Linked DNA regions of Tribolium castaneum. The main gene of each other region encodes a partner of the protein of the gene in region 3 in a complex. Links are inferred from orthologs where the notes say so. Each region holds a gene or a part of one and is shown on either strand. Other genes may lie near its edges. The genes, in order: Pp4-19C, serine/threonine-protein phosphatase 4 regulatory subunit 4 and serine/threonine-protein phosphatase 4 regulatory subunit 1.

The links.
Region 1: serine/threonine-protein phosphatase 4 regulatory subunit 1 (region 3) and Pp4-19C share a complex: the UniProt entries of both Homo sapiens proteins name them as parts of the PP4 complex. The link is inferred for Tribolium castaneum from reciprocal best matches to the Homo sapiens genes PPP4R1 and PPP4C.
Region 2: serine/threonine-protein phosphatase 4 regulatory subunit 1 (region 3) and serine/threonine-protein phosphatase 4 regulatory subunit 4 share a complex: the UniProt entries of both Homo sapiens proteins name them as parts of the PP4 complex. The link is inferred for Tribolium castaneum from reciprocal best matches to the Homo sapiens genes PPP4R1 and PPP4R4.

Annotation. Positions count from the first base shown.
Region 1 is NC_087401.1:11,679,253-11,683,000, reverse strand, and holds Pp4-19C (serine/threonine-protein phosphatase 4 catalytic subunit), read left to right. Parts: upstream 1-1,073; 5' UTR 1,074-1,227; exon of another isoform or gene 1,228-1,252; intron 1,253-1,378; 5' UTR 1,379-1,383; coding exon 1,384-1,533; intron 1,534-1,587; coding exon 1,588-1,740; intron 1,741-1,792; coding exon 1,793-2,093; intron 2,094-2,208; coding exon 2,209-2,398; intron 2,399-2,863; coding exon 2,864-2,993; 3' UTR 2,994-3,248; downstream 3,249-3,748. Other genes in the region: Flo2 (flotillin-2), read right to left, coding at 800-848. UniProt on the Homo sapiens protein: Protein phosphatase that is involved in many processes such as microtubule organization at centrosomes, maturation of spliceosomal snRNPs, apoptosis, DNA repair, tumor necrosis factor (TNF)-alpha signaling, activation of c-Jun N-terminal kinase MAPK8, regulation of histone acetylation, DNA damage checkpoint signaling, NF-kappa-B activation and cell migration.
Region 2 is NC_087394.1:13,858,021-13,861,532, forward strand, and holds the end of serine/threonine-protein phosphatase 4 regulatory subunit 4, read left to right. Parts: intron 1-39; coding exon 40-735; intron 736-2,853; coding exon 2,854-2,884; 3' UTR 2,885-2,963; downstream 2,964-3,512. Other genes in the region: haloacid dehalogenase-like hydrolase domain-containing protein 2, read right to left, coding at 2,973-3,143. UniProt on the Homo sapiens protein: Putative regulatory subunit of serine/threonine-protein phosphatase 4.
Region 3 is NC_087394.1:36,828,227-36,831,882, reverse strand, and holds part of serine/threonine-protein phosphatase 4 regulatory subunit 1, read left to right. Parts: intron 1-1,280; coding exon 1,281-1,393; intron 1,394-3,656. UniProt on the Homo sapiens protein: Regulatory subunit of serine/threonine-protein phosphatase 4. May play a role in regulation of cell division in renal glomeruli. The PPP4C-PPP4R1 PP4 complex may play a role in dephosphorylation and regulation of HDAC3.

The DNA.
Region 1 (3,748 bases), on a different chromosome or scaffold from region 3:
TATTTTAACATTTTTCAAGCCATTAGAGGCTCCAGTTTATTGAAAATTTGATAAAATTCCGCGCGGATCTGGTGATTTTTATTTTTTGAGTTGGTAATACTGTAAGCACCACTGCTTAAAGAGCGATTTACACTAGCCGATTATGTCCGACTTACACCACGGAAAAAAGACTGGAATGACTGACTTTTTGGCCATTAATTTTCAAAAAAATTGTAACCAGAAGACTGTCTTTTATTTTTTAATTCTAGTAGTTACAATCACGATCATGTTATACCACTGCAGTAAACAGTAAATAAACATATGCAAGGTTGTTCCAGATAGGTACGCCCATTGTAAAACAACAACAAACAGGCACACCAACCAAACACAATACAAATGTCAAAGGTCAAATAGTAGAGCACTTAAATTTTATTGCAGTTAGGCAATAAATGAAACACATGATTAGCGGGAATTGTTGAAAACAATTTATGACTAAGAAAAAATCTTCTTTTGATAATACTTAATTAATAAAATAACACATTTTTGTCATATTAAAAAAACAAGTTATTAATAAATCTCTAAACCGGTAAAGATGAGACGTTAATTATTGAAACGTAGTTTTTGTATCTCACTATCAATAATACTACAATTAAAAAGTTATTTTTATGGTCGGGAATTCTATTTATTCTTATCAACAACTAACGATTCACCTTGAAAATACCCCAAAAGACCCCAGATTTTGCATGCAGGTACCCCAAACCCCGCAAACGCTGTAGTACAGCCCCAGCCACCCTTGTCCAAGCTACCCCAATAAAATTACCTGAAACAATGAGGGCTTCATTCGGTCCCACCGTATGGATATTTCCCATGTCTCCCAACACCTCGGCACCACACACACAGTCACAAACCCTCCACAAAACCCCCTTAAAATTTCAGGTTAAACATGAAAAAACTCCGCTTTAATTTTTTAAGCCGTAATCATACTACGACCTACTGCCTAACGCAGGCGCACCAACTTTATTTAAACAACCCTAAACGCAATTTCTCCCCAATTTAACCGTCCACCGTCGCTTTCCTGCCGAAATAAGGGTTGAGAACGTGCGCAGAGTAGCGTCGGTGGCGACACGACGCCGCCGCTCAATTGACATTTGTGAGTCAGCCAATCGGACGTATGTCTGAGATTAGGGCATCGGGGTGCTGTGATTAGTGGCTTTGGTGGGGGCTTTTTCGAACTTTTATTGGAAAAAGGTACGGAATTTCGCCAGAATTGTGGGTAATTAGCGTTTCGCAATCGTTTGGGTTCAGTTTTGGGGGTTTTTGGTTAAGTTTGGGTGACCTAACCTCAACTTGTTACTTTTTGTTTTCGTTTGACGTTTGAGCTTGGGGGCCCGTGTTTCAGGCACAATGGGCGATACCAGCGATTTAGACCGGCAAATCGAACAGTTGAAAAGGTGCGAAACGATCAAGGAATGCGAGGTTAAGGCGCTGTGTGCGAAAGCTAGGGAAATTCTTGTTGAAGAGAGCAATGTTCAGAGGGTTGATTCCCCGGTTACGGTAAGCGCAGCCCCCGGAAGGGGTCACGGTTTGGTTCATTGTGACTTGCTTCAGGTTTGTGGCGACATACACGGCCAGTTTTACGACCTGAAGGAGCTCTTCAAAGTGGGGGGCGACGTCCCCGAAACGAACTACCTGTTCATGGGGGACTTTGTCGATCGTGGGTTTTACAGTGTTGAGACGTTCCTCCTGCTACTAGCCTTAAAAGTAGTACCGAAAACGTGACGCAACAAGTAAAAATTTACGATCATTTTTTTAGGTTAGGTACCCCGACCGCATCACCTTAATACGAGGCAATCACGAGTCGCGTCAAATAACCCAAGTTTACGGATTTTACGACGAGTGTTTACGCAAATACGGCTCCATAACCGTATGGCGGTATTGCACCGAAATTTTCGATTACCTCTCACTTTCGGCTATCATTGATGGCAAAATTTTCTGTGTTCACGGGGGGCTGTCGCCCTCCATCCAAACCCTAGATCAAATCAGAGTCATCGACCGGAAACAGGAAGTACCACACGACGGACCAATGTGCGACCTGTTATGGAGCGACCCTGAAGGTAATTAATAGCCCCCTTGAGTCGCTCCCAAATTGAAAAAAAAAATTGGTGGCCAAGTTGGCCCCGAAAAATTATATTTGTGTCCAGAGTTAGTCATGAAAAATCAATGTTGTAGATACCCAAGGTTGGGGCGTGTCGCCCCGAGGGGCGGGCTATCTGTTCGGTTCCGACGTCGTGGCCCAGTTTAACGCCGCCAACGACATTGACATGATCTGTCGAGCGCATCAGCTGGTCATGGAGGGCTACAAGTGGCACTTTAACGAGACTGTGCTGACAGTGTGGTCAGCTCCAAATTATTGCTACAGGTAAAATTACCACTGGGAGCGCCACTGAGCTAGGTTGAAAACAGTAACTTCAAATGTCGGGAAATGTTTATTATGATTGTACGAATTTGGAGGCTTTCGTTTTTCTTATGTCTGTATTTTCGAAAAGTGTTTTTATTTCTGATTGCAACGATGTATCACATGATATGATCGAATGCTGGTTAAAATGGAGAAAAAATATTTTTGCGAAGGATGCTTTGGAAAAAACGCCAACAATTTTGTTTTTAAACCTACTAGATTTTGGAGGTTTATTTGAATTTGGATCTAGAAGCTTCACATCACCACCAAGCCTACTTATTTAAAAATTAAACCACATGATAAACAAACTTACTAAACGATACATTAAATTCGTTACTGTTTTCGACGAAATGTCGTCAACAAAGGGCGTCTAGTTTTTTTTTCCAAACTGGGCATTTGGTAAATTTCGGTTATTTTTTGTGTTTGCAGGTGTGGCAACGTTGCCGCAATTTTGGAACTGAACGAGCATCTGCAACGTGATTTTACGATTTTTGAAGCGGCGCCTCAGGAAACTCGAGGCGTGCCATCGAAAAAACCACAAGCTGATTATTTTCTGTAATAGTTTAGTTGTTCTTTTATAATTGTAATATACATATTATACTCTTGGTCATCTGTTAATTCATAATTAATTCATCAGTTGTAGTTACGTATTTTTTCATGGTCTTCAATTATGTTTAAGACAGTTTTTGTTCCAGTTGTCGATTTATCCCTCTATTGACTTCGAAATTCTAAAACTGTACTTATAGTGAATTTATTTATTTAAAACCATGTATTGTACCATTTGCAGACTGCCAAAATACATTTTTTTGTAAAATTTGAGTTTTATTTCAAAGATATTGCAAATTAAAAAAATAATGGCGGCACTGGCAGCCATTTTGGGACGGCTAATTCAAAACCGTACCCATCGCGTGTGTGATAGCTAAGCAAAAAAGCCTTAAAACGTATAATTAAGCTTTGAATTGAAGGTTTCTTAAGTTTTATGTTTCAAAATCGAAATTTGAAGCCTCCAGTCATAAAAAATCATTTTCCATGAAGCAGTAATTCTTTGTAACAAGACACCCCAAGCATTTGTGTCAACCACAAATTACAAAATTTCTGAAGCTCAATTCGTAATCCAAATCAAACAGTTGTTATTCCTATTTACTTATCTGTCTCTCATTGGTTTTATAATTTTTATTTTGGAACAATTCGCGTCTACACGACTTCGTACCATCGGGACGCTTGATTTTGACAGTCGCGGCATCATCAAGCCCAAATATTTTCGTTTTTTCGTGCTTTTTTTACCAAAAATCCGGTGCATAAGCCCTTAAAAAC
Region 2 (3,512 bases), about 23 Mb from region 3:
TTTTTTTTCCAGTAGTTGCTTATTTTAGAACCATTGTAGCGATATGAGCTTCTTAGAACAGCATTTTTACATTGATGCTGGCGTAAGCTTACCGCGTATCGAACAACCTATAGATATGGAAATACGCAAAGTTGTGACAGATTTCGATCAACAATTGAATTTATATTCGGAAGATCCGAACGTAATACCGACTGTCTCTGTCGAAAATGTTAACATTGAAGCAATGTCTGAAAGTGAATTGAAAAAACTGGAAACATCAACCACCAATATTACAGACGATGTTAAAGTGAACTTGAGAAAGAGAAGTAAGAAAAGTACAAATCGCAAATCACTTCTAAGTCCACCAAAAGATATCTGCTTGAAATACAAAAGATATTCGAGTGTGTTCCCAGCCGATTCCTCAACATCTAAAACAACATTGAATAGAAGAAGCCTGAATATAGGTGCTGGTGATTTAAGTAAAATTCCAGTTTGTGTGAAAAAATCACACAGTAATGCTGATATAGAGCATGTTTTTGAATGTGGAGATGGCGATAAAGCGAATAGAACCTCGGGAAAGGTGAAACATAAACCGAATGAAGCCACTCAAAGTAAAATCAGGCCTAAATCTGAAATTTTAACACGTCTTGACAAACAAAAGGACGATAGTGCAATAACTTCCAGTATTAGTAAAAATAATGTGCCAATAAGTAGTATTAACAAAGGAAAAACATCAGGATTGCCAGTGTTGAAAAAGTAAGTACTAGTAGATTTAGCTTTTTGTGCATGCTTATTTTAAGTAGATGAATTGGTTGATAATTTGCAAAAAAAAAACGTTAAAGTTCAGTTAAACTAAACATCCCAAAAACTAATCTTGTTTACTTTTTTAACAAGTATTTGTATGTATAATTAATAAAATAATGATGTAAATGTACCTCATTTTAATAGCTTATAGTATAACTGTCAGGAACACCTACTCATTGCCCATAAAAGTTCCATCAACAGAGTCGCATTCTGCTATGTTCTCTCTTTTTTTTGTTTAGAATTATATTTTTTTTAGAAACCGGCATAAAAATTAATATTTCCCTGACTAGTCAGTGCTTCGTATATTATGTGATATACTGATATACTATTATTTGTACTAACGATTCTTTACCTGACAGTAAAAATATGTGGTCTTGTGTAAAAGTATGGTACTAACTTTCTATTTATGATAAAAATATGCCTTGGAGGTACATTTTAAATACTCTTTATGGGAGTACGAGTTTTTTACAGTTATAATTGTAATAATTCTAATTAGAAATGACTTTTAACTAAAATACAATTAAAAAAAATAAACATATTCATGAAAGTTTAATCTGCATTATGCAATTTTAATCGATACATCCATAAAAAATTAAAATGTATTATGATACACGTATTTAGTAAAGAAAAATATAAAGATTTTTTACTTCAAAATTTCTTGTTTTTCTCCAAAAATCTGTTGCTACTTTAAAATTCCTTCTTTTTCTTTTTCAATTTTGGTTTACACTAGATACATAAAAAATTAACATGTATCGTTATACTTGTATTTAGAGAACATATTTAAAGATTCGACTGACAAGCAACTTCAGAAAAATCTTTGAAATTGACTTGTTTTTTCTTTTATTTTCAAAATCGTTTTACTGCAAAATTTCTTCTTTTTCTCCAAAAATCTGTTCCTTATTTTCCTTTTTTCAGTTTTGGTTTTCTCTTTTAACAACCCAATTTCCCCTTTTTTGGTGATCAAATCATTTCTTTGTTTTTTTTGAATACACACGTTTGTTCAACAACTCAGGGCACAGAATGTGAGTTGACAAACTGCAAACATCAGCAACAACTGCCCCAGGCCCCACGTTGGGCGCCACTTTATAAAGAGTATATTTATTTTTTTAAGTATTTTTTCCTTTTCTTGTATATCTTCTTCCAACCGAATTTAATAATACCAGTGGGCACAGGCTATCTTTTTTCTATTTCACGTAAACATTTTTGATATGCCAATAAAAATATTGGAGTAGTCATACGTATCTTACAATATCTTTGAGTAATGCATTAGCAATATATCTGTTAATATATTTGTAATATTTTACAATTCTTTATTTTATTTTTTGTTAGATTCTTTTTTTAGGATATCGGCTACAAATTTCTTTGTTTCATTTTAATTTCCTCCTCTTTTCTTAATCGAACCTTTTCTTTTTATACATTCGTTTTTATAGTCCTTCATTTTTATCTTATTTTTAGACAATTTCTTCAACTTTCGTCTTCTCTTGTTCTTACCTTTTATCCATTCATCCAAATTTAGGTGATGACTAGAACAGATGCTATTTTTAGAATAATTTTAACTGTGTACGTTAGAAAAATCGCGAAATATTAAAGAATTTTTCAAGTGGAATAGTTGAAGACAACTGTTATAAAAAAAAATCCTACCATGAAAAAATGTTTTCGGTTTTATCTTGTGTAATCAGTTTGGTTAAAGGGACGTTTTTAAAATTACTACATCTGGTTTAATCATTTTTTGCCCATTCGCATTTTAAGTTGAAAAAACAGAAGATAAATGAAAATAAGAAGAGAAATTGCATTTGGTTGACTTGAAAGTAAAAAGAAGTAAACAAACATCATGTTTTCAATGTCTCCGTATACTTTTTTATTTAGTGATTATCATGCTTAAGACTTGAACTTGAGATATCGAAAACCTACGCTATAACGAAATTTTAGTTCGCTTTGGGAAACATTTAAATTTCATTCTCGATAAAAACCATAAAACAACAAATAAATGTGGGAAAGTTTATGGTGTGTTTATTATCACTGCTTTAATAAAAATAGTGGAGATGTGTTTAATTTATGTTTCTGTTTCAGGAAAACACAGTCCGAGATCAAGAGCAAATAATTTATTTTGTTACACTTTGTCAGAAAGTCTATTTTGTACGTTTTTCTATAACAATTTTAATAAATATTATCTTAACATACCGAGGTATTCATTTATTAATTTCCTGTAATATTTTTTCTACTGCTTCAACAAAACTAGGCACGACGGCATCTGGTGGCGTGGAAATTTTCTTCTCGTCACCTGGTTGATACTTTCCTGTTTGCACCAAAAATCCCCTGATACCAGCCTTCATTGCCCCTTCTACATCATCAGTTACGTCCTAAATACACATTAACCCAGTTAAAAAGACATCAAAATAGTGGCAAGTTGCAAAAATTCGCATAGAGCTGAAAATTTCTACAGGTCTTTAGGACACTATTACAAATAACATATCAAAAGTCCCAATCGATCCCATGTGTGCAAAAAAAATATTCAAGGTTAAAGTCAAAAGTTTCGGTTTTTGCAATTTTTCGCATAAACGGTAAATGTTATCATTAAAATAGGTCAGACAAAAGTTGTAGACAATGCAATTGTCTTGTAGACAAGACACAAAACCGCCTACTTTAATTATAAATTCAAATAATCACATGGTATTACGGTTTATAAGAACATAATATTCAGAAATACTACTTTGCATCTACCATATCTT
Region 3 (3,656 bases):
ATGACTTCATTTTAATTGCGAACCTGAGCTTTTTCATTTTATTAATTTTTGGAATAACGAAAAAAATATTTTACAAACATCAGCGAAAGGTAAACTAGTAGTGTCATTTGTGTTTTTTTCTTTTTGTTTTATTTTACATCTTTGTTGGTGAAAAAGATACAGCCAGTTTTACTAATTTTATTTTGTGTCTAAATTTGTTAAAACGTGGTCATGAACGCTACAAACATTTTATTAAAATTATCTTTTGCATAATTACGGCAATAACCGTCAGTTATCTGCCAAATTCACCCATTTTTAAACGTGTCTTGTATTAAATCATTATTAAAAATTATATTATTTTACAAGTTACATTTAAGTTACAAGTCAGCAACTCTCTGGGCAGCAACATTACCCTCTTAAATTATCATTTGATTATTGAACATTACAATTTTGTGTCAAACTTTAGTCAACCTTTTATTAAAATTTATATACCTACATAAATTTCAAATGTCTTTGTAAACAAAAAAGACAATTGACAAAAACAAGTAAAAATTAAAAAGTTTTGTGATTTGTCGCAACAAATGAGCTTGAAAACTAAAAATTAGCATTAAGTTTGTTGCTCAAATGTAAAAACCTGCCTTTTTAACACGTAATAATTTTTGCAAGTTTAAAATGTGATTTTTTTGGAGTGAATAAAGGACATTTTGCTATTTTGTGTATTTTTCAAAAGTTATATACCATACGTTTAAACTGAAAAAGAAAAAAATAACCTCGTCGTTTATTGTATTGTTGGTTAAAGAAAAAGTTTCTTTGAAAAAAGTTGACAATAAAGTATTTTTTCGCGAAATTTCCAAATATAAAATTTGCGACGTAGATTACATTATCCTCAGGTCCACGGTCGGCCATCTTAGGCTTGTTTCCGCGGGGCGGAGACTTCGCGACCAATAGAGACGGACACCGCCAACTCCGCTTTCGCTGATCACCGGTTTGTAGTCGGATATCGCAATTACGTATCAGCATTAAAACGTGTGTATGTGTGAATGACTCGACCTTATTGGATATTTCTCGCATTACATATATTATGTTTTGTTTTATTACAATTGAAAAAATGGATTTTTTGAAATACAATTTTTGAAAAATTATAATTCGCGCTTTGGTAAGCATCCAGTGCGCGCGCATCACCACGCTGACTAGGATGTTTAGTTGTTTGGGATGATTTCCCGCCAATTCTTTGTGATGCGTCTTAGTGTACGCCACGTGGTTGTGGTTTTTTTTCTTAACGAAAATGTGTTTGTTTGCAGTAAAATGGTTGCCCGAATTGTTCAAGATTTGTTTCGTACATCACCTCCGGAAATTTTAGCCGAAGAACTTCCGAGTATTATGACCATCGTTCGATCGCTGGGTGAGAAAGATGGTAAGTTTTGTTACAAGTTTTAATGACGTGTTTGAATGGTAGAGAATGTCGTTCTTCGGTTGTTGCCGGCAGCAGGTAGTCATAATTCCGTATAAAATGCGTCACATTTTTTACTAGCCTTGGAAGTGCCTATAATATGTATAAGAATATAATTTACTTTCGTGTGTGGGGGTTATTATCTGATATCAATGGGTAAATTTTCCATGTGATGGTTTAGTTGGATGAATCATTCGGGCGGCAAAAAATTATTATTAGTGGTTGTTTTGAAATTGAAGTAGAAGAAAACTTGCCTAGATTAAAATTATATCTTGGTATTTCCTGCCGATGCATATCTAATTTTTTTTCGTTTCTGGGAAGTGCTCTCACAGCGATACAGTATTTATGGAGAGTACTTGTATTTTAAATTTTAAAACCACGTGTTTGCGTTATAGTAGTTCAAAAACCTAATTATTAGATACTCTAGAAGCGTGCATATAATTTTGATAATGTTTTTATCTGTAATATGGTTTATTAAGATTTATGGGAACTTGCACTTGAATATTTTATTCGAAATTAAAATTCATTAGGCGTCCTAAGCATTATTGACCATTTGTGTGCTTTTATTTTGTATAAAACGGCATATTTTCATTGTCAATGTCGCAAGGTTTCTTGTGGGCAACAGAGTGTATAATCACTTTTTTCCGAATGTTTCAACAAGAAAAAAGGAATACTCTCAATATTTTGTCTAAAATAAACAATAATTTCACTCGTATGAGACCTAAAATTGTGTAAATTCTACGTTTTTTCAATTTTTGAACACTTTACAATAAATTTTGGTCAAAAGTAATGTTAGCATTTCAGCTTTTTTTGTGCCTTTTTTAAGCGCGTTTGTGAGTTTTAAGTCTAATATTTTCCTAGAAGAAACAGAAAAATTACGAATTTTTATACAAGCTTATTTTACTTTTTGTTTGTAAGCACGGAAATGCAATTATTACTCGAAATTTCGAATTTAAACAGCGAAAAGTCACTCAACTATTCACTAACATGGTTGTTATTTTAGACAATTAAAAAAAATTACGTACCTACAATTACATAAAAACACATCGAATTTGATCGAAATTTTATTTTACTGTTTGATAGCTATAAAGAAAAGTAAAATGTTAACAAACTATTCGCTTTTGTAGAATTTTGTTCTAGTTGCGAAGAAAAAATTAAAAAAAATGGATATAAGTTCAAGGAATTCTTAGAAATTCGGATGAAACGAATTCGTCAGTTTTGAATTACAAAACCATACCACGATTGCACGTGTGAGAGATTTGGTTTTTCATTTATTTTTCTATTTTTTCGGACAACAGAAAGACGGTTGAATTACCTAGAATTTGGAATTTGTAAAGATATAATGAATTTCTTTAATTGAAAAGCTGCCTTTGTTTTAATTATTTTACCAACGTTAAGGAGTTGTTGGTATTGTTGTTTTCTTTTTTTATTCAATTTTATAACATTAATCGGGTTTGGGCGAAATTTCGTCAAAATATGCCGAAAAATCGTAATATTTGCTAATAATGTTCTTTTTAAGTTTAGAGATGTCGCTAAAACTAATTGAAAACTCATTTTTTGGTCGCAAAATTCTATTCATACTAAAACGAGGAATCAACAAAATTAGTCCGAAATTAACTGTTTTTCCAGTGGTTAAAACACTAATTTTCTTGAAAAAAATTGTTAAAACTGAAATTTTATCGAAATTTATATTTATTTTATTTTATTTCAGTTTCAGTTTTCAGACTTGAATACTTGGTTATTTTGTAAACGCGCTTCAAAATCATAAAAACAAAATGAAACTGATGTTATTTTGTTTGTTTCACTAGATTTCGTTGTTTTTTGAGCTAAATTTCGTCAAAAATCAGGTGAAAAGTGACAAGATTTATTCGAAAACGCATTTATGCTTTTTTAAGGTTTTATTAAATGCGTTGTTAAGTTTCTTACGCTAATAAACCGAGTCGAAAAGTCAGATAATTGGTCCAAAACTCAAAAAAATGTAATTTTTTCGTATTTAAGACGCTTTTAATGCAGAAACCTAATTATTTCGCAAAAATTGTCAAGAATAAGCCGAGAAATCGTCGAAGAATTTGCAGATTTTTTTTTATATTCTCTTGACGAAACGGTGACGAATTCCGAAATTGTTTTGTTTGTTTCTTTTTCATCTAAACATTAATCCAACAATTTCCAAAAAAAATTCTCTCAATCAAAACTATGTAGTTTACGACCTCTGATGATTTACGCCAGC